Rhinolophus ferrumequinum: one gene and its partner. The protein of the gene in region 1 interacts with the protein of each later gene in a pairwise test. Links are inferred from orthologs where the notes say so. Each region holds a gene or a part of one and is shown in the gene's direction. Other genes may lie near its edges.

Region 1 (9,713 bases):
TTTTATAGTTGGAACCTACAGAATGGCTTCTACTTTATCATACAGATATTGAGTGGAAACACAAAAACAGAAGACCCAGAGTGTGACAGAAATAATGAGCTATCCCCTACTATCCATTCTCTCATTTTTCCTTAATAACAGAATCTTCAATTTAGACACCTAGAATAGACTATATTATTTCTTCTTTATGGTGAGGTGTAGCCATGTGACTAAACCGTAGCTAGTGGGAAATGAGTGGAAGTATGATGTTTAACTTCCTGAGAAGGATCCATAAAGAATAGGGTGTGCTTTTCTATACACTTTTTTCTTGGCTGAAATATGGATATGGCAGATGGGGCTTTAGCAGACATCTTGGACCAGGAGTTGGACGACACATGCTGAGGATGAAGGAGCAGCAAGGTTTTTGAAACCCCTCTATATGCCTACCCTGGACTTCTATTATGAGAAAGAGAAATACAGTTTTGTCTTGCTTAAGCCATTATTGTCTTAGATTTTTTTGTTACTCACAGCCAAAGCTAATGCTAACTATACACAGTGAATATTCATTCCTCAAAGGCAGTGTCAGAATGAGACTACTGAAGAACTCTTGCTCTGCAGACTATAGAGCTGTCTATAACGGGTTCCACTCTATTCCCAGCCTAGTTTTTCTTCAACCTTCTCTCCGAGACTGTGAGCTTCCCGTACAATTTCAGTAAATTCCCTTTTTGCTCAAGTTACACAGAATAGGTTTCTCTTGCTTGCAAACAAAGAACCTTAATAAAACAAATTTTGCACACTTTGTAAAAATTTGATGAGTGTTTGGGTTAAGGGTCTATTGTATTAATAAAAGAAAAAAATTGCCTAGAATATAATTTTAGACTCAAAATAGGCCCAAGTCATCCTACTTTTCCCATTATGCTGCTTATCATGCCCAGTACCTGTAGCCCAGTAGTAAATATCCCAGTCATTGCTAGGCTCATTAATCAGGCGATCGTAGAGGTTCAGCTGTTTCTCTGTCATGTGGTGCAGATATTCTTTAGCAAAGAGGCTAAAAACAAGAAAGAGAAAGAAGTTGAAATGCTGTCTCTAGTCAAAGAGAAGTGACACCAACACCCCTGTCCCCTACCTAAGCAGAATGCAGTTTTCCAGCATTCCCCTCTTTCTGCTCTCATAGAGCAGGCGGGCTCTTTTGGTTTCTATGGATTCATCAGTTCGCTCCTGCCATGGAGGCAAAGGGATTTCAATCATATCTTTTTGGGAATCTGTTGGGCTGTCACCTCTGCAGAAGTGTCTGAATGATGTCATGCTGAGCAAAGGAGACACTGGGTGGCGCCTGGACAGAGCAAGCATCTGAAACAAAGCACAAACATCTTTTTAACAACAACAAATAACATTTGTCATTCACTCAACACATTAGATGCTAAATACATTCAATCTCATTTAGTCTGTAAGAACTTATGCTGATACTGACTCCACCCTACAGTTTAGGAAGTTGAAGCTCAGGGAAGTTAAAAAACTTGTCATCCAAATAGTAACTGCAGTTAGGATCGAAACCGAGCTATAATTACAAACGTGTTCTTAATCAGTGCCCTTCCAGAAATTATCCAGCAGAAATATTTTCTCTTTCCTTTGCAGTCCCTTAAAATTTTTACAGTATGGTTTGTATTCTAGTCACTAGCCTGTGTCAAAATCTGAGCATACAGTGATGGCATGGATCCTAATCCCCCAAGGACTCCTAGAGAAAGTCAAAAACTATCAAGATGTGATGAGAAGGTGGTGATATAAGCAAGATGACAGAGCAGGAAGCACCACATTCTCCTTCACCCACAGAGACACCAACTCCACAACAATATACTCGGGACACTATAGAAGCCTGGGGGCTGAGAACAGAGCTGGAAGGCTTGTGGCACCTTGAGAACCTGCAGTAGTACAGACACCAGAAGGAGTAAGAACTTATGAGCTCCCGACAAAAGAAGCCAGCAAATTCCTCTAATTAGGAATTGACATGCACAAATCCAGAGAAGACATATCTACTCGAAAGTATTGGGAAGCCCCCAGAATCTCTAGCAGGGCTGCCTGGTGATGGTCTTTCTTTGAATAAAGCCAGTCCAAAAAAACTAGGAGAGTTGGCTGTTTTATCAAATGCGTGGATCCCAACAAAAAATTGTACAGGACACAAAGAAACAAGGAAACATGGCCTAATCAAAGGAACAAAACAAATCTCCAGAAATCGACCCTAAAGAAACAGAGGTATATGAATTACCTGACAAAGAATTCAAAATAACTGCCATCAAGATGTTCAATGAGGTCAGAAAAACAATGCATGAACAAAATGAAAATATCAATAAAGATAAATATTAAAAAGAACCCAATGGAAAATGTAGAACTGAAGGATACAATAACTGAATTTAAAAATTCACTATCGGGGTTAAACAGCAGACTTGATCAAGCAGAAGAAAGAATGAGTGAACTCTAAGACAAGTCATTTGAAATTACCCATCAGAAGAAAGAAAAGAAAAAATAATGAAAAACAGTGAATACACCCAAGAGACTTATGGGACATCATCAAGCGTACACTACACACATTATGGGAGTCCCAGAAGAAGAGAGAGAAAGGAGCAGAAAGCTCATTTGAAGAAATAATGGACCAAAACTTCCCAAATCCAGGGAAATGAATGGACATTAAAATTCAAGAAGCCCAAAGGACCTAAAGCATATTAGACAGTAACACAAAAGCATATAAAAGCATAAAGCTCACTGGTAAAGGTAAATATGACAAATACAGAATATCGTAATATTGTAACAATGGTGCATAAATCACTTTTAATTCTGGTATAGAAGTTAAAACACAAAGACTTTTTTTAAAGACCTATAAAATATGTTAATGGATACACAATATAAAAATATGCAATTGTGACATCAATAACATAAAGTGAGAAGGAGTAAAAGAGCAGAGTTTTTGTATGAGATTGAAGTTAAACTGTTATCAGCTTAAAATAGTTATTATGTTGTATGTAAGCCCCACAGTAACCACAAAGGAAATACCTATACAAGATACACAATAGAAAGTCAGAAAGGAATCAAAGTATGCTTCTACCAAAAAAAAAAAAAAAAATCAACGAAACACCAAAGATGATATCAAGGGAGGAAAAGAGGGACACAGGCTCCAAGACATGAAGGAAATATTTAACAAAATGGCAACAGTAAGTCCTTTCCTACCAGTAATTATTTTAAATGTAAATATATTAAACTCCCCAACCAAAATAGAGAGTGACTCAATAGACAAAAAAAAAAAACAAAAAAACAAACAACAAAAAAAACAAGACTCAAGTATATGCTGTTAAAAGAGACTCACTTGAGATGTAAGGCAACACATAAGTTGAAAGTGAAAGAATGAAAAAAAGATATTCCATGCAAATGGTAACCAAAAGTGAGCAGAGGCCTCTACTCATATCAGGCTTTCAATCAAAAACTGTTACAAGAGATAAAGAAGGATATTATGTAATAATAAAAGGGTCAATCCACCAGGAAGATATAACAATTATAAATATACATGTAACCAATATCAGAGCACCCAAATATATGAAGCAAACACTGACAGAACTGAAGAAAGAAATAGCAACACAATAATAGATTTCAATGCCCCACTTTCAATAATGGATAGAACATCCAGACAGAAGATCAGTAAGTAAATAGAGAACTTGAACAACACTACAGATCCAATGAACCAAACAGATATATACAGAACATTCCACCCAACAGCAGCGAGAATATACATTATTCTCAAGCACACTGTGAACATCCTCCAGGATAGATCACGTTAGGTTATAAAACAAGTTTAAGAATATTGAAATTGTATGAGATCTTTTCTGACTACAACGGAATGAAAACTAGAAATCAACAGCAGAAGGCAAATTGGAAAATTCACAAATATGTGAAAATAAAACAACACGCTCTCAAACAACCAATGGTTCAAATGAACCAAAGAAGAAATCAAAAGGGAAATTAGAAAATATCTTGAGACAATAGACACAACATGCAAAATAGCATGAGAAGCAGCAAAAAGCAATAGTAAGAAAAGTTTACAGTGGTAAACACCTACATTTAAGAAAAAAGGAAAAGAAAGAAAGATCTTATGATGCGATGTGAACTCACGATAGGTATTAGAGAAGATTTAAGAGGAAGCTGACTTAAAATCAGACAGAAGAGGCGCCCAGAGGCGGTGGGGCCAGCTTCACCCGGGAAACAGGTGAAATCCGTATTGGGTCTTACAGGAAGACTGATCGTTCCACGATACCACAATACAGGCAGCTAGTGGGTTCCGGAAAAGGGTGACAGCGACTTGAATCTCCTAATTTGCAAGCTCGACCTCTCCTTGGGTCTGTCCTTGCCTTAGGCTGTCAGGCAGTTGGACCTCTCCTCGCGGTCTCCAGGACTGCGGAAGAAGAAGAGACTCAGTTCCCACTGTGGCCCGCCCAGGACCCTACGACATGCATTCTCACCCGTGCCAGAGCCGGGAATACGATGGCCACTGCCATTTTTCCTGACCTGTACCGGAAGCCTGCGGCCCAGCCACTTCCGGGACCTCCCGGACGCCGACCCTGCGGAAGATTCGCCCTAAGCCGGAAGATGCGTGCCTGCGTAGGGCGGAAGTGGCTTTGCGTGTGACGCCAGTGGCGGGGTAGGGGGGAAGGCGGGACCTGGGGGGCCGAGAGCGGTTCGCGCGCTTCGGGCCTAGTTCGGACTCGCCGCCTCCGCCGCCATATTCCCGGTAACGGGGGCGCGCGGCCGGGGGCCGGCTGGGCCGGAAGAGGGCTCGGGGCCGGCGCTGAGGCGGGGAGGGGGTCGGTTGAGTTTGGGGCAGCCGGAGTCGGCGGGCGGAGGTTGGCGCGGGCCTTTGTGGGAGGGGGCCGAGGGCGCTGGGCCGGGTCTGTGGGGAGGGAGCGGGGCGGGCCTAGCTGGGGGCGAGGACTGGGCTTGGATGTGGAACAGGATCTCCGGGACTCGCGGGGATTCTAGCCGGGGCCGCCCCGGGGCCTAGGCAGGTGCGTTGGGCTGGGGCTGCGGGCTTCGCCTCGGGCGTTCTTAACGGCGCTGTGCGAGGGCCCCTAGGTGCAGAGGCCTGGGGTTCCCCGTCGCGCCACGGCCCCAGCGGCGTAGCTCGGGTCGGGCCCGAGGGTGATGGGCAGCGAGCCCCGCGAGCCCCGGCGGCCTGGGAGCGCGAGGGGCGGCGCGAGGCCGGGGGCGGGGCGGAGCGGGTGGGGCAGAGCTTGGGCTGCCGGGGAGGCTGCGTCTCTGGAGACGGGAGGTTGGCGACCATTGCCCTCCTTCCAACCCGGGACCTTCATGCCATCTAACTCTTGCCTCTCCGCAGTGGCATCTTTCTTACTTTGTCCGTTCTCCGGGCCCGCGATCTGCCTTCCGGAGCCATGTCAGAAGGAGTGGACTTGATTGATATATATGCCGACGAGGAGTTCAATCAGGTGAGGGGTCATCGGGAGTATTGGGGTTTTCCAGGATCAGCCAAGGAATCACTTCCAGCATACTTGCAGTGGCTCCAAGCTATGCTAGCTAGCCCTTGAGGATTTGCTAGGCCTGAACACGCCTCATCGGGTCTAAAATTGTTCCTCTAGTACAGATTTTCAAGACTTCTGACCATTCCGCTTTATGTTACTATAAGCCTCCAGGCTTAATTTTAAAGGCTTTCATTTAAGAGCAAATAAAAATCAGGTTTAATAGAATGGTGAATCAACCTGTGGAACTTGCTGCCCCAGGAAGCCAGAGTTGGATGTTTGTCTCCTCAAAAACTAACCACTTAAAAATCAGAAATACGTTTGCTGTGGTTTTCATGAAGACAAGGTTGATACCTGTTGCTTTGTGATTCTGTCAAACTGCGGCTGGAAAAATGTAGTCAGTCCCCTCTCCCATAAGATAGTGCGAAGTCACACTGTAAAAGATACTTTAACGTTTAATTTTAGCTCCATTACAATTGTTTTGCATTTTCCTTTGATAAGTAGCTTAAGTCCAGTCTCAAGCCCATAGGCATTTTGGTTTAATACATTTTATTGATGAATCTAATTGGGTGTTGTGGGGAGAAGTAAAGGTTTTGGACAAACCAGTTAAAAAGCAGGTATAGGGGTAGCTGGTTAGCTCAGTTGGTTAGAGCGTGGTGCTACTAACACCAAGGTTGCTGGTTCAATCCCCACATGGGCCACTGTGAGCTGCACCCTCCTTTAAAAAAAAAAAGCAGGGACAGACCCACTCACATACCCTGAGATGGATTTGTTGGTCCCTTTGTGTTATGTCAAGGAATATTATACAGTGATTTCCCTTGAAACAATAATCTCATATACAGTTCGATTCTGAGCTCTTGAGGTCAAATCTCAAGAATATTTCAAAGTTTCTATTTAAACTGATTAATATCTTGCCTGGATTGTTTTCAACACTGTTCTACTTGAGTAAGCTGGTTTTTCCCATTGGCATCTTTTATGGGGTACCCATAAGGGCCTGCAAAAAGGATAAAAAGAATAAAGGAGAAAAGAGCACTGTTTGGACCCTGACTTTAATCTGAGGCAACAGAGGAGGTTGAAATACATGTAATTTTTTTCACTTGGCATAAGTTTACGTTAAAAAAGATTTTTAATACGTTATGCCTTTTTAACATGGAATTTTTAAAACACATGATAATAGAGTAGTGTCAAGACCTTGTACCCATTATATACAGCTTCACCAGTTATACTTTTTTAAGTTTTTTTTTTTTTCAATTGGGGAAGGGGAACAGGACTTTATTGGGGAACAGTATGTACTTCCAGGACTTTTTTCCAAGTCAAGTTGTTGTCCTTTCAATCTTAGTTGTGGAGGGTGCCGTTCTGCTTCAAGTTGTCGTCTTTTCAGTCTTAGTTGTGGAGGGTGCAGCGCAGCCCCAGGTTCAGCTGCTGTTTCTAGTCGCCGGGGGCGCTGCCCACCATCCCCTGCGGGAGTCAAACCAGCAACCTTGTGGTTGAGAGCCTACTGGCCCATGTGGGAATCGAACCGGCAGCCTTCGGAATTAGGAGCATGGAGCTCCAACCGCCTGAGCCACCGGGCCGGCCCCACCAGTTATACTTTTTAATAGTCATTTTCCCATGTCTCTTCAGGTAAACTGGAGTCACCTACATGTGGCTGCTGATTGGTTTAAAAATAGGAAATTTTTTTATTTTTAATTTCATACAAGTCAAATAATCACTTACGGATAAAAAGAAAGGTTTAATATATTAGTTACAAACCATTGCTTTCCTCGGTTACTTTGAATCAAACTTATACTACTTTTAACAAGTTATGGTTCGTTTTTTAAATACAAGATATCGAGGAAAGAGGAAGGCTCCTTTATGGAGGAGTCAGAGTGGAGTTGGCTCTCTTCCGTTGGTTGATAACTGTGCTGCTATGTCCATGGGGAAATGGGCAGAACAAAGCCCTTAACCACAGGAATAGCTACATTTGGTCTGAGAAAATGAGATTTCATAACTTCTCTAGCATCGACAAGACACAGGCCTCGTCCCGTGGTCCCTGCTGTGTCAGTAGAAGTCATTGGCCTCAACAGTTCGTGTTCTCTGGTCACTTTTGTTAAAACGGACTTTCTAAAGGGAGGCCAAAGATGGTGTGAGAGAACTAGTGGATGTGTATACCAAACAATATTTGATGCTTGGCAGCTTGAAGAAAGCGTCGATTTTGAATGTCATGTCTTGTGGATGGTCGAGGTGGGGTGTTTTTTTCTCCCATAAATAAGTTAATTTTTGGCAAAGCTGGTTTTAATGTAATTTGGAGGCTGCTAAAGAAATAAAAACTCTTGTCTGGCTAGGATTGTTAGAAGCAGACTTAGACTGAAGGCGACCAGTGCGGATAGTGTTTCAGAATGTTTTAAGAATGTTATTGATTCACCCCAAGCTGACCCATGCACAAAAACTCTGTCACATGTACTTTGCTCCCCAGGGAAAATGAACACAGTTCCTAGATGGGACCCTATGGTACTGACTCCCTGATCTCTTCCAGCATGTGCTGCAAAAGCCTCTTTTGCACAGCTACTTCACTCCTGCGGCATAGGGAGTCTTGAGACTCGCAGCTGCTCTCATGGGCTGGGGAAAACTCTGGAAAATAACAGAGCTGCCTTTCTCCTGAGTGTTTTGTCTCTGTTCCTTATATGAAGACAGGCAGGCGCTTTGCACAGTATGCTCAGTTCTCTTTCTTACTTCCATCAACAAACGTTTGTTGAGCTACCTTTGTTAGCTAGGCACCATGTTGGAACTAGTGAGGTAAAAGGGAAGTAAAAAAACCAAACGGGAATCCCTGTGCTCAAAAGACGTGGTGTTCCTGGTGGTTGAGGGCAATGAACAGTGACAGGAAAGGAGAATGTTAGCTGACAATTGTGGAAATGGTGATTATAAAGCCAAAAATTGTTAGCTTTGGTTACAGTTAAGACAATGGTATCAAGTAGGTTGCTTTGAGAAAAGTAAATCCTAGGCTTTATTACTCCCCTCAGATATCAGGGAAAGGGGGTTGGAATGTGGGACCATTGAGCATACAGGTGAGGAAGTTCTTACGTAAATTTAAAATTCTGCAAGTTCTTTTTTGTTAACCAAGAAGTTTCATAAGAGAATCACAGTTCTCCCTGTACTACTAAACACAAAATTCTTCCTGAGATATTCATACAGTATTAAATACATACTTCCTTTTTAATCTTCCTGGAGTGTAATCTACAATGCATGTAAAACATTCTATTATTCACTTAATGTATAGAATTAGGTTGTGCTTTAAACTAATCCATCACTGCATAAATCACCAGCTTATTTGGTTAATCAGAGAAACCTCAGGCCCTTATCTGTTTTTCTGTTTTACCAGCTGAAGAAGTAAAATGAATTGTTGTTGCTAGCAGATTTAAATCCAAACACAACTTGATACGTTGTTTCTTCAATAGAGTCCTCAGCAGGCCTCCCCTTGTGTATCAGAACAGTTCCCACCAAGGACTATGAACTGAGGTTCTATGGCCCAGAGAAACGGTTTGAATCTTGTGACAGTTTTGAACTCATTGAATCCTTTTGTGTTTCTTAAAATGATAAGGTAATCCATACAACAGAGTCTTCCAGGATTGAGTCTGTCATTTTCTAAGGTACCCTGAAGAAGCCAATTGTTCCTCTAGGCTTACGGTGTGGGGGATTTCCTGCTGCTAGTATTTGTTCGCTGAACTGTGCAAATTTGCGTGTTAGTTCATTACCCAATTATCAATGGTAATTTTTGTACAACTTATAGACACACATCTCTGAATCGCTGATACTGCATAGAAGGAATCCCAATTTGGTTCCACTGACTATCCAAGGTGGTGTGTTTCTTTATTCCCTTTAAGTTTCACTTCAAAATCCTTGATTTAAAAAACAAACAAACAAAACACTTGGTGTGAAGTAGGATTAAAGCATTGGAGAGGATCAAGTGGTTTCTAAGCTGTTTCTCTACCTTGAACCACGAGGGCAAATCACCATAGCTAGTACACAAATAAATAAATAAGTGATTTATCTAGAATTGGGGTTGTTTGAAATGTTAGGGCTATGAAATTTTACACACAAAATGTCAAGTTACTAACCCTAGCTGTCTTCACCTTATTCAATTTATTAGCTACCCTGCGCTCTGCAATGTTAGCTTCTCTCCCTGTTCTTCACACACACACACACACCCATTTTTGTGCAATACCCTTATTTATATATTTG
Region 2 (9,713 bases), on another chromosome or scaffold:
CCCTCGGGACACACAGTGCCCGCTCCCAGCTGGGAGGCCCCGTGGGGAAGAAGGGAACAGACTGACGCAGCTGGCCGGCTGCACCCTAGTCCCTCCAGCGGTGACCACACTGAGCATTGCAGCACTTGTAGAAGGTAGTCATGGGCTCGTCTGCAGAGCGGGTCTGAAGCTGCATAAAATAGGCTCGAGGATGTTCGCATTTGGGGCAGGGCTCTGGAAATGAGAGAAAGAAACAAGGTATCCCCGTTATTTAACACACGAGGCTCCTCGACCAGCATACCTGATAGAAGCAGGTGTTATATAAAAGGCAGCAAAGCCCCTCCCTCGCTCACCTGGTGTCCCTTGTCCCCGGATGGAAGGCTATAAACAGTGATCTCGTTCCCAATGTGCCCTCACACTGAGGAAATCCAGGAGAGCTTGGAAACACTCTCCTCCCCGCCCTGTTTTTCTCAAACTGTTTTTTCTCACTGTTTTTCTCAAACCTGGTAGAAGACTGGTTGGAAACGTAACACGGCTGCTGTGTGAATTACGGGGCCCACGCCGTGCAGACTTCCCCTAACAAATTCATCTCCATCACCTGGGACGTGGAGACGCCCTCTCTTCTTCCCAGAGGAGCTGCCAAGGGCTGACCAATCGGCTTCCCCGAGTATTTAGGGGTCTATTTGGCAGTAGCTCCTCAGGCTGCTTTTATCAAGATCTCACCACACATACGTACCTTTTCCGAGGACCCCAGGACACATTTACCTTCAAAGGTTTTTACTTTGCGACACTAACCCTGCTCTTGATGGAAACACCTTCAAAAATTCTCAAACACCATTTTGGACATTCGGGGCATAACTTAGCTTTTAATGACAACTTCTGCCTTTGCTAAATTGTTCACGTGGCGGATCTGGGTACCGGTCCAGAGAGGCAGAGCAATGGCACTAATCTTACTTCGCTGTTCCTCCCCTCGGCGCAGGTTGTCTAGGGCTCTGCTCTGCCCTTCCTTGGTCACATCTATGTCTATCAGAAACGAATCAAGACTTGAAAGAAACATTTATTTTACTGAGACTGCAGTTAGGTGCTCTCTGGTATTAACGTTTAACACGCCGCATGAGAACAAGACCACCACATTTATTTCCCGCGACTCTGATTTGTATTATTCCTGACCTTGTAGCTATCGTAGCTACCGCCTGTAGAATTGCCTGTTATATGCGAAACACTATAACTCACTTGGGTGCTCTCACAACCTATGAGTGTGGATTAGCCCTGGAGCGCTTCAGGGACCCCAGCAAGGTCATAAAACAGTAAGAAGTCACCCCGAGACTTTAACTCAGGACTGCACGACTCCAAGGCTTGTGCCAATATCATTGGAGTTAACAAGTAAGTTCTTAAAGCGCAAACACACTTTCTAAATACATCACCGACTGCCACGGAGCAGCAGCCAGTGGCTTCATACTTACCCACCGCTCAGTTACAGAAGGCTTTCCCTCTTACCTGCAGTAGAGTCAACATTCTCCCAGGCAGCTGCTCCACCAAGCACATCATCCACTTCTTTGAGCTTTGGATACTTCCGATTTGTTACCTAACAAACAACAGCAAGCCTTCAGACTCTCCAAGTCAGTGAACAGTGCAACCGTGGGCCACCAAACCACACCTCCACAGCTGCCCTCAAGTGTCTTCCCAGACTGTCTTCCTCCCAGCCAGCAGGGAGACTAAACGAAAACAGTGTTCCCGCTACCACAGAGCAGGACGCACCACTGGAATTTAAAGAACCTACGATTGGGATGCCCCCACAAGAGAAGAGAGAGATTCAGCCGTCAGAGAAGATCTCTGCAAGGATTGAATGAAACACCAGAGCAGGAAGACACGATGGCTTAGGTGTGACCCTCCTCTACGCCCATATCTCTAAGATACCACCGCCTAACCCAAGATGTGAGAAACAAATACACCTGAAGCCAAAGAGTACCAGCTGGGGAGCCCAGCCGCTCCCCGCAGGCAGAGAGCTTTCAAAGCACTCAGTTTCTTTCCCAAGTTTTACCCGACATCCTTGAAATGTCAGGCTTACGTAAGAGTTCACTCTTCTCATAGATCCAGACTCTAAACTCCCACAACACAGCAATATGGTGCAGTACACAAACACTCAGAACGGGGTGGCCCCAAGGGGCTCTACTTCTAAAGAGTAAAGATGTCGTGCAGGGTGTCAGGCGGGGTCTCTGGTCCCACTCCCCACATAAGAACGCAGGACATAGTGAGGCCAAAAAGGAACACCCACGGAGCCATAGGTAGGGGAGTCACACCACTATATTCTCACTGGCGGCTGGGTTGGAGACACAGGAAACCAGGAGCAACACAAGTCTCAACCCTCACTGCTCCACTTGCTGGCTCAGCCACCATCTTCTCGCTAGCCCCCATTTCTGTTAGCCTAGCCACGGCAGTTATATTAGTGCCCAATGGCTCACTGGTTACAGCTGACGGCCAACTAGCCACAGCTGATGGCCATTTGATCAGTCGATGGCCATTTACTACCTGAGCCAGCACCTTGCTATGTGAGGCCGAGAGCCTGGAAACTGCTTTTTGGGGCTCTGTCCCCACAAAAGATCAAGGGGAAAATACCGAGTCCTAACACCGTGAGCACAATTCACCGCAGTGAACACCTCCACATCCTCAGTTCCATCCTCGGCGTTCCGACTAGCACACAAGAGGGAACAAAACAGAAAGAGCCCTGCCCTCCTACAGCTTAGGTCTCGGCTTCGGTAAACAAAGCACGTAAGTAAATTATACCGTGTTATTAGAAGGTAAGGAGTCCTAGAGAAAAACCAAAACCGGGAAAGAGGATAAAACGGAAGGGCTGCAATTTTACACTGAGTGATGATTTAAGTGACGACGTGACAAAAGAGTGGCACGGCTGTCTTAGGGGAAGTCTGGACCGGACAGGAAACGTGGGCAAAGGCGCTGCTAGTAATGCCACGTCCATCAGGGGGGATCCTCCAAGAGGCTGGTGTTTCTGGGGCAAAAGAGCCCCTTTTCTGACATCAGAAAAGCAAGGCTGGGGGGAGGGGCGTGGTGTCAACGCTCGGTCTGCCCCGCGAGCACATTTCACGCTGGCGAACTGCTGAGCGTTACCGAGCGCAAGACGGACTCGATCTGACTTCGGCGTTACAAGGACCGCTGTGGCCTCGGCGGTGACCACGGCCAGGGCCTCCACCTTGCGTCCTGACAGGGGTGGAGCACAGCCGGAGGAAGCGGGAGGCCTGCGGGGGCCCGACGCCGGGCTCCAGGACCCACCTTGCGGGTGATGTTGTGCACGTAGGGGCAGGTGTTGCAGGCGAAACGGTGGCAGCGCTGTCCCTCCTCCACGATCAGCCCGTTCCCGCAGCCGGGGCAGAAAAGCAGCATGACGGCGGACTCAGCCCCGCAGGCTCCCGGCAGCCCCCGCGGCCGCCCAGGAGCCGACACTATGCCCGCCCGCCTCGAGCTCCTATTGGTCCTGGCCACCTTAGCCCACCAATAGACACGCCGATGTCGCGCTCCCAGCGAGCACCGCGGCAGGCCATCTCGCACTTCTCATTGGTCCTCGCGGCAGCCAATCGACGCCCTAATGTCGGAACTGACTGCGGGTTTTGCTCCGCGGGCGAAAGCGCCGCGCCTCGGTCTTGCAGACGGACGGTGCGGGCGGAGCGCGCTCGGCAGCGAGGCGCCCTGGAGGCGGCGGAGGCGGCGGCACAGCCCGAGGCGCAGGACGACGATGAGGACGAAGAGGAGGCGCTGCCGCACTCCGAGGCGGTGGACGTGTTCCAGGAGGGTCTCGCCATGGTGGTGCAGGACCCACTGCTCTGCGATCTCCCGATCCAGGTGCGCGCGGGCAGGGTGCAGGCGTCGTGCCCCGCCGGGACGTTCGTCGGGTGTGGATCCCGCGCGGTGCTGATGGGGGCTGTGGCCCAAAGGCCTCAGGAAGGCACCTCTGGGCGTAAATGAGGGTCTTAACCAGGGCCGAGCCTGGGGCGGGGCGAGCGGGGCTCTCCCGTGGGGCGCGGAAATTAAAGAAGCGCCAAAATAAATAAATCAATCAATAAATAAATAAATAAATAAATAAAATAATATTTTAATACGTTCATAACACAAAGTTGGTGTAAAACCTATCGCCAACAAAAGAAGGACGAGATCGTTAGTGCCGGTTTTTTCCCTTCTCAAGCTTCAGTATTCTTTGGTCCATCATGGAGTTTTCAAGTTAACTTGTATTTTCTTAAAAGTTGTATTGGCAACGTGTATCATCGCACACGTGCCTCAACCTTCTCCAGAGGCCCGGGCTTGGATCCTGGTGATCAGAGGCTCCCAGAACGCACGGGCAGGCCCAGGGTTCTTCTTCCTACCCAGCCCCTGGATGAAAGGATCCATCCTTCTTGCCTGTTCCTGTGCTCCTTTCTCCAGAGCCTCTGTCCGCTTTGGACTTTAAATGGGAAATGTGGGTGGCACATGAGATTGAGGTGCTGGACTGGGAAACCCTGATATATAAGTAAGAACCCTTTCCCTTTCTCATCTTTCATATAACGTTGCACCACTCTTTGGACAGTACCACCTTGTTTTTCTTTGTTGTCGTTTTGGGGTGGTAAAGCCAGGGCTCCCACCTCCCCCCTTGGTCTTTTCTAGGTTACTTTGGAAGAGGTCAATTCCCAAATAGCCCTAGAGTATGGCCAAGCAATGACAGTCCGAGTGTGCAAGATGGATGGAGAAGTCATGCGTAAGTGCTGCCCTCCTCCCTTCAGGCCGTGCAATCTGAGCTTTCACAGGGGCTGGTCAGTGGGACACTCAGGGGCCATGCCCATGGGTGTTGGGGCAACCACAAGCCCACCCACCCAGATTTGAGCCTCGGTCAGAAACAAGGCTTGACAGGGCTTCTGGGTTCCTCTCCCCCCACCTGAGGCTGTGGCTGGGGCTTCCCACCATGGATCTTCTCCCTTTTGTGTCCCTGGTTGCAGCTGTGGTCGTGGTACAGAATGCCACAGTCCTGGACCTGAAGAAAGCCATCCAGAGATACGTGCAGCTCAGGCAGGAGCGGGAAGGCGGCATTCAACACATCAGCTGGTAAGTGGCGCCAAGGCTCTTTGCATCCCCTCCTGGGAGCTGGACTGGGACTCCACAGGACTCCGTGTGCTTTTTAGTCACTGAGCCCTGTTACAAAGTACTGACTAAAGTGATGCGCTCCCTGCCCGGAGCTTTCAGACAGGGCAGGTGCTTCTGTGCCTGGGAGTCCTGCATCACCTGCTCTTTCATCTGCATCACCCCACCTAGGCAGCTGGTATCTGTACTTAGGGACACCTTAGGGCATGTGTGATGTGTCCAGAAGTGGTCTCCTAGTTACAGACGGTACATCCAGGACTTCTCCTGGATGTTCTTCTCCTCCCTTGCATGGCCCACACGGCCCTCATAGAGCCGGGCCTCCTTGTAGCCGCCTCAGGCACAGTGCACAGTGTACAGGAAACAGCCCAGAAGAGGCGGCCGGCTGCCCCGGGCCCACAGAGCTGAGCACCGTGAGCCGCTCTCAGTCACAGCGTCTGCATCCCAGCTGCTCCACTCACCCTGCTCACGGTTTACCTGAAACCCTACCTTGCAGGCCCTACGTGTGGAGAACGTACCATCTGACCTCTGCAGGAGAGAAGCTCACAGAGGACAGGAAGAAGCTCCGAGAGTAAGTCCAGGCCACATGTTGAGCTACAGGCAGGCATTTGGGCGGTGCCGTCTGGTTACACATGCTCTGCCAGACGGCTGGGGCCCCCTCCCAGGAAGGAGGGATCCTCAGTCAGTTCCTGAGGACTCTGTGAGACCTACAGAGGACCCTGGCTGTGCTGACGCCTCCCGCTGGGGGCCCCCACGAGGAGAATGCGGGTGGAGGAGAGGGGTGAGGGGCCCTACTGCTTCTCACCAGTGGCAGTTCAGGGCAGCACAGAGGCAGAAGAGGGGAGAAAGAGTGCATGGAGGTGAAAGGCTGCCCCCTGGTACGTGTGGCCACTGCCCCCTCCTGGATGCCACACTCTTCCCACCTGTTCTTTCTTGGTTTTTCACCAGCCTCAGGTGAGGAGTCCTGGATGTACCCTTCTGGAGATCAGACACTTGACACCTTTCCTTCTCTTTCAGTTATGGTATCCGGAATCGGGACGAGGTGTCTTTCATCAAAAAGCTGAGGCAAAAATGAACCCCTGGACGAGGACAACTGTGCCGGTGACAAGCTCTGCCCAGCAGGAAGCAGCTTCGGGCCACTGTCCCCTTGTCACAGGAGAATGTCAAAGTGAGCACAGGTGGACTTGTCTGAAGCCTGGGCCCTCAGGACTAGGACCTGACGAGCCAGTGCTCGTGACCTGAGCTTGACCCCTCCCTGAGCCCAAACACCCTCATCTCGTGGCAGATGCCACAGGGCTGTGGGCCAGGCCCTGAGTACAGCATAAACCTCTCTGCTTCTGACCTGGAAAAGTCCACAAGCCACGGTCCCGGCAGGAGGGACGGGCACTGCGGCATCCCAGGAGGCAAGGGCAGAGAATGGGGCCGGTGCGTCCTGAGGGCTGCGGAGGCCACCTGACCATTACTGTGTCCCCCACGGCCAGGAGGAAATAAATGTGTGTCCCCCACACGCAGCTGGCTTTCTCTTCTACTTGTGCAGAAACAAACGGGCCTGTGTGTGAGAGCACAGCCGTCGGCAGGGCCTCCCGCCTTGGCCCGCAGGACTGTACAGCGGTGCCATCCCCTGGCTCCCGGAAATGGAGGGGCCTGGGGCAGCAGCTGGAACTGCTGGCTGAGCAGGGAGGGCGCTTCTCAGTGTGTGTGGGGGGGAGAAATGACAGCACATCCCTGGGTCTGTATCCCATTGTGGCTACCGGTAACTAGGAAGGGAGCTGGGGGCAGGGGGTGCAACCTGGCTGAGGGACTTCCCTGGGAGGTGTTTTGTATACTTCGTTCCTTGTCTGGGGAATTGTGAGTGAGAGGAACGTCCCGCCACAGCCCCCAGCCAGGAACGAGAAAGCAGAAGGCAGCTCTGGTCAAGTTAGTGGCAGCTAAAACGCTCCCAGTCCATTTATTGGCCACCTGAGGTGGTCGTCAAGAGACTAGTTAGAAGGGAATCACGGGAACTAGTGTAATAAATGCCCAGAAGTACGAGAGGGTCAACAGCAGTGAACAAGGCACAAGAGGTCTGTGTCCAAGACGCGGGCGGACCCCACACAGGGCTCAGGCAGCCCTGTCCGTGGCCTACGGACCCCACACGGGGCTCAGGCAGCCCCGTCCGTGGCCTGAGAACCCCACACGGGGCTCAGGCAGCCCCGTCCGTGGCCTGCAAGGCTCGGGGTGGACGGCGCCCGGGAGCAGGTGGCCCCAGTGGCCAGCAGCTCAGTGGAGCTGGGCGTCCAGCTCGTACTTCTCGCAGAACTTGTCGGTGAAGGGGATGCAGGTGAGGAACTCACACCACTCACAGCGCACGGGGTAGAAGTAGAAGAGGACCACCAGGCCGGCCAGCAGGCCCAGGAACACGGCCTGGAAGATGAGGATCTGGCAGCGCTTGCGGTACAGGTCGAACCTGCCGAAGCTGACGTAGGGCAAGAAGGCGAAGGACAGGAAGAGGCCGCTGACGAAGCCCGAGATGTGGGCGAAGTTGTCGATCCAGGGCAGCAGCCCAAATGTGAACAGGAAGAGCACCACCGCCAGCAGCTTGAAGAAGGCGCGCCAGGGCCGGGCCAGGATCTGCCAGCTCTGGAAGAGCTCCACGAAGAGGCACGCCAGGATGCCGAACTGCGAGCCGGCCGGGCCCACCTGGGGGGACAGGCAGTGCGGGCCGAGTGGGACCCCCGGACCCACAGCCTCGTCCCCTCATCCCGCCTCCCGTGGCCTGGAGCACAGCAGGATCAAGGGCCCGAGGGGACACGCTCCCAGGCTGGCACCCATCCTCACCTCTGCCCGGTACGGCAGGAAAATGGCACTGGCTAGGTTCCCGGTGACGCCACTCAGCAGGTAAATGATGGCGATTCGGTGCCAGCCCGCCAGCTTCTCCAGGTCCCGCAGGACGGTCATCTGGAAGCAGACGGACACCAGGCAGTGCAGGATGCTGTGGGGTGGAGGGGCCTCAGCAGGGACGGCCACCCGTGGCCCGCCACTCCCGGGGGCCCTGAGACCCCTGCCCACCCATCCCTGCTCAGCACTGAGGGTGTCACTTGCCCAGCGTGTAAGAAGAGGGACAGCCACAGGCGGTAGAACTGGTCGGGCACCTCGGGATTGAGGAAGGGCAGAAGCCCGCACACGTCATCCATGCAGTGCACCTGTGCAGAGTGGCCTGTCAGCACCCTCCGAGGCGGGGGGACAGGGAGGGCGCTCAGCCTGGAGGCCTACCTGAGAGCAGAGTGTGGCCTCCTCATGGAAATAACCCCTCATGAAGTCACAGTACTCCCGGGAGGTGATCTCACACCTGGAAGGTCAGGCCAGGGTTGGGGCTGCTGGGGCCCCCACTCACTCCACGGTGGGGCCCAGGTTCCAGCCCCCCTCGCGCACCCCTGTTGGCCCTTCATCACCCCACGCCCCTAGTATCTGGGGTTATTTCGGGACCTGGTAAGGGAAGGAGGGCACAGCCCAAGGCAGCGCTCTGCCCCCAGGCACCTACCTGCCCTTGGTGCCAATGCAGCAGGGCCGGCCTGTGATGGCACAGTCCATGTGCGGGTGGTTCGTATGGTTCCCCGCGCTGTTTTTGGTGCAGATCTGGGTCACAAATGGGGATGAGTTGGGTCAGGGCCTCCCCCAACCCGGGGCCCCACACCAGGCTTGGGGGTTGGGGCAGAGAAGGACAGGCTGCCGCGGTAGGAAACAGGCCTCCCTGAGCAAGAGGCTGCTGGACGCTGAGCTTCAGCCTGGCCAACGGTCAAACTGGAATAATGTCATTTGGCCTCCCAAGTCTCTACATGGTTCTCCTGCTCTAACTACCTGCTCAGAGAGGCAAGGGTCGGCGGAGGGACAAGCTGGGCAAAGGTCAGGGGCACTGCATCTAAACACAGTGTCCCAGGAGGGTCAGGACCTCCTGGCATCAGGTGAGGTGTGGATTCCTCCCCAACAACCCCACCACCCAGGCTCACCGGCCACTTGGTGATGTCATCCGGCCACTCGTGGGGGTCCTCAGAGGAGGGCTCATCACACACCCTGCACGAGCCCAGCATGTGGTCAGGCCCAGCTCTGGGCCCTTAGCACTGGCACCCTTCCACCCAGCTCCACGAGGGGAGCACCCTCTCCCCCCACTACCCCGGGAGAGCAGGACCAAGAGGTAAGGGAGGGGCTACAGGGCTGACCTGGGGTCCTGGTGGCAGACAGAACCGAACTGCCTCTTCTGGCCGGCAAGGTCTGGGGCGCTGGGATGAAAGGGCCACTTGACCCACACCGCGAGCGTGGACTGTGGGAAGACACAGGTCAGAGCCCGCCCCGCCCCCAGTACAGACTCGAGAATGCAAGACTCCAAAGCAAAACCACTGAGCGCCTCCAGAGCTCAACCCCCACTCCATACATTTACACTCCAGAAATGTGCACGGGGGAGATTCTGTTATAAGCTCAACTTGGATAAAGGAAATACCACTTAGGTAAATTGTCGGCACAGGCACAAAAACAAGACACGTGCAGAAAGAGCACACACAGGCGTTACAACGGTCGGCTGGGTAAGACGGAGGAATTGGGGAATGAAAACGTAATGAACGTGATTTGAGGGACGGTGTAAT

The links. The genes of interacting proteins can lie anywhere in the genome.
Region 2: the proteins of CPSF7 (region 1) and SNRNP25 interact in binary tests that used the Homo sapiens proteins (3 or more experiments, as listed by UniProt). The two-hybrid records come from large-scale screens. The link is inferred for Rhinolophus ferrumequinum from reciprocal best matches to the Homo sapiens genes CPSF7 and SNRNP25.

What each region holds. Positions count from the first base shown.
Region 1 is NC_046294.1:9,493,830-9,503,542, forward strand, and holds the start of CPSF7 (cleavage and polyadenylation specificity factor subunit 7), read left to right. Parts: upstream 1-4,626; 5' UTR 4,627-4,750; exon of another isoform or gene 4,751-4,862; intron 4,863-4,951; coding exon of another isoform or gene 4,952-5,133; intron 5,134-5,135; coding exon of another isoform or gene 5,136-5,262; intron 5,263-5,263; coding exon of another isoform or gene 5,264-5,299; exon of another isoform or gene 5,300-5,335; intron 5,336-5,353; 5' UTR 5,354-5,408; coding exon 5,409-5,462; intron 5,463-9,713.
Region 2 is NW_022680357.1:2,145,187-2,154,899, forward strand, and holds SNRNP25 (U11/U12 small nuclear ribonucleoprotein 25 kDa protein), read left to right. Parts: upstream 1-3,598; 5' UTR 3,599-3,792; coding exon 3,793-3,834; intron 3,835-4,629; coding exon 4,630-4,720; intron 4,721-4,958; coding exon 4,959-5,064; intron 5,065-5,593; coding exon 5,594-5,668; intron 5,669-6,114; coding exon 6,115-6,172; 3' UTR 6,173-6,602; downstream 6,603-9,713. Other genes in the region: POLR3K (DNA-directed RNA polymerase III subunit RPC10), read right to left, coding at 86-213, 1,477-1,564, 3,268-3,378; RHBDF1 (inactive rhomboid protein 1), read right to left, coding at 7,357-7,776, 7,915-8,068, 8,179-8,279, 8,350-8,425, 8,618-8,712, 9,084-9,147, 9,294-9,394.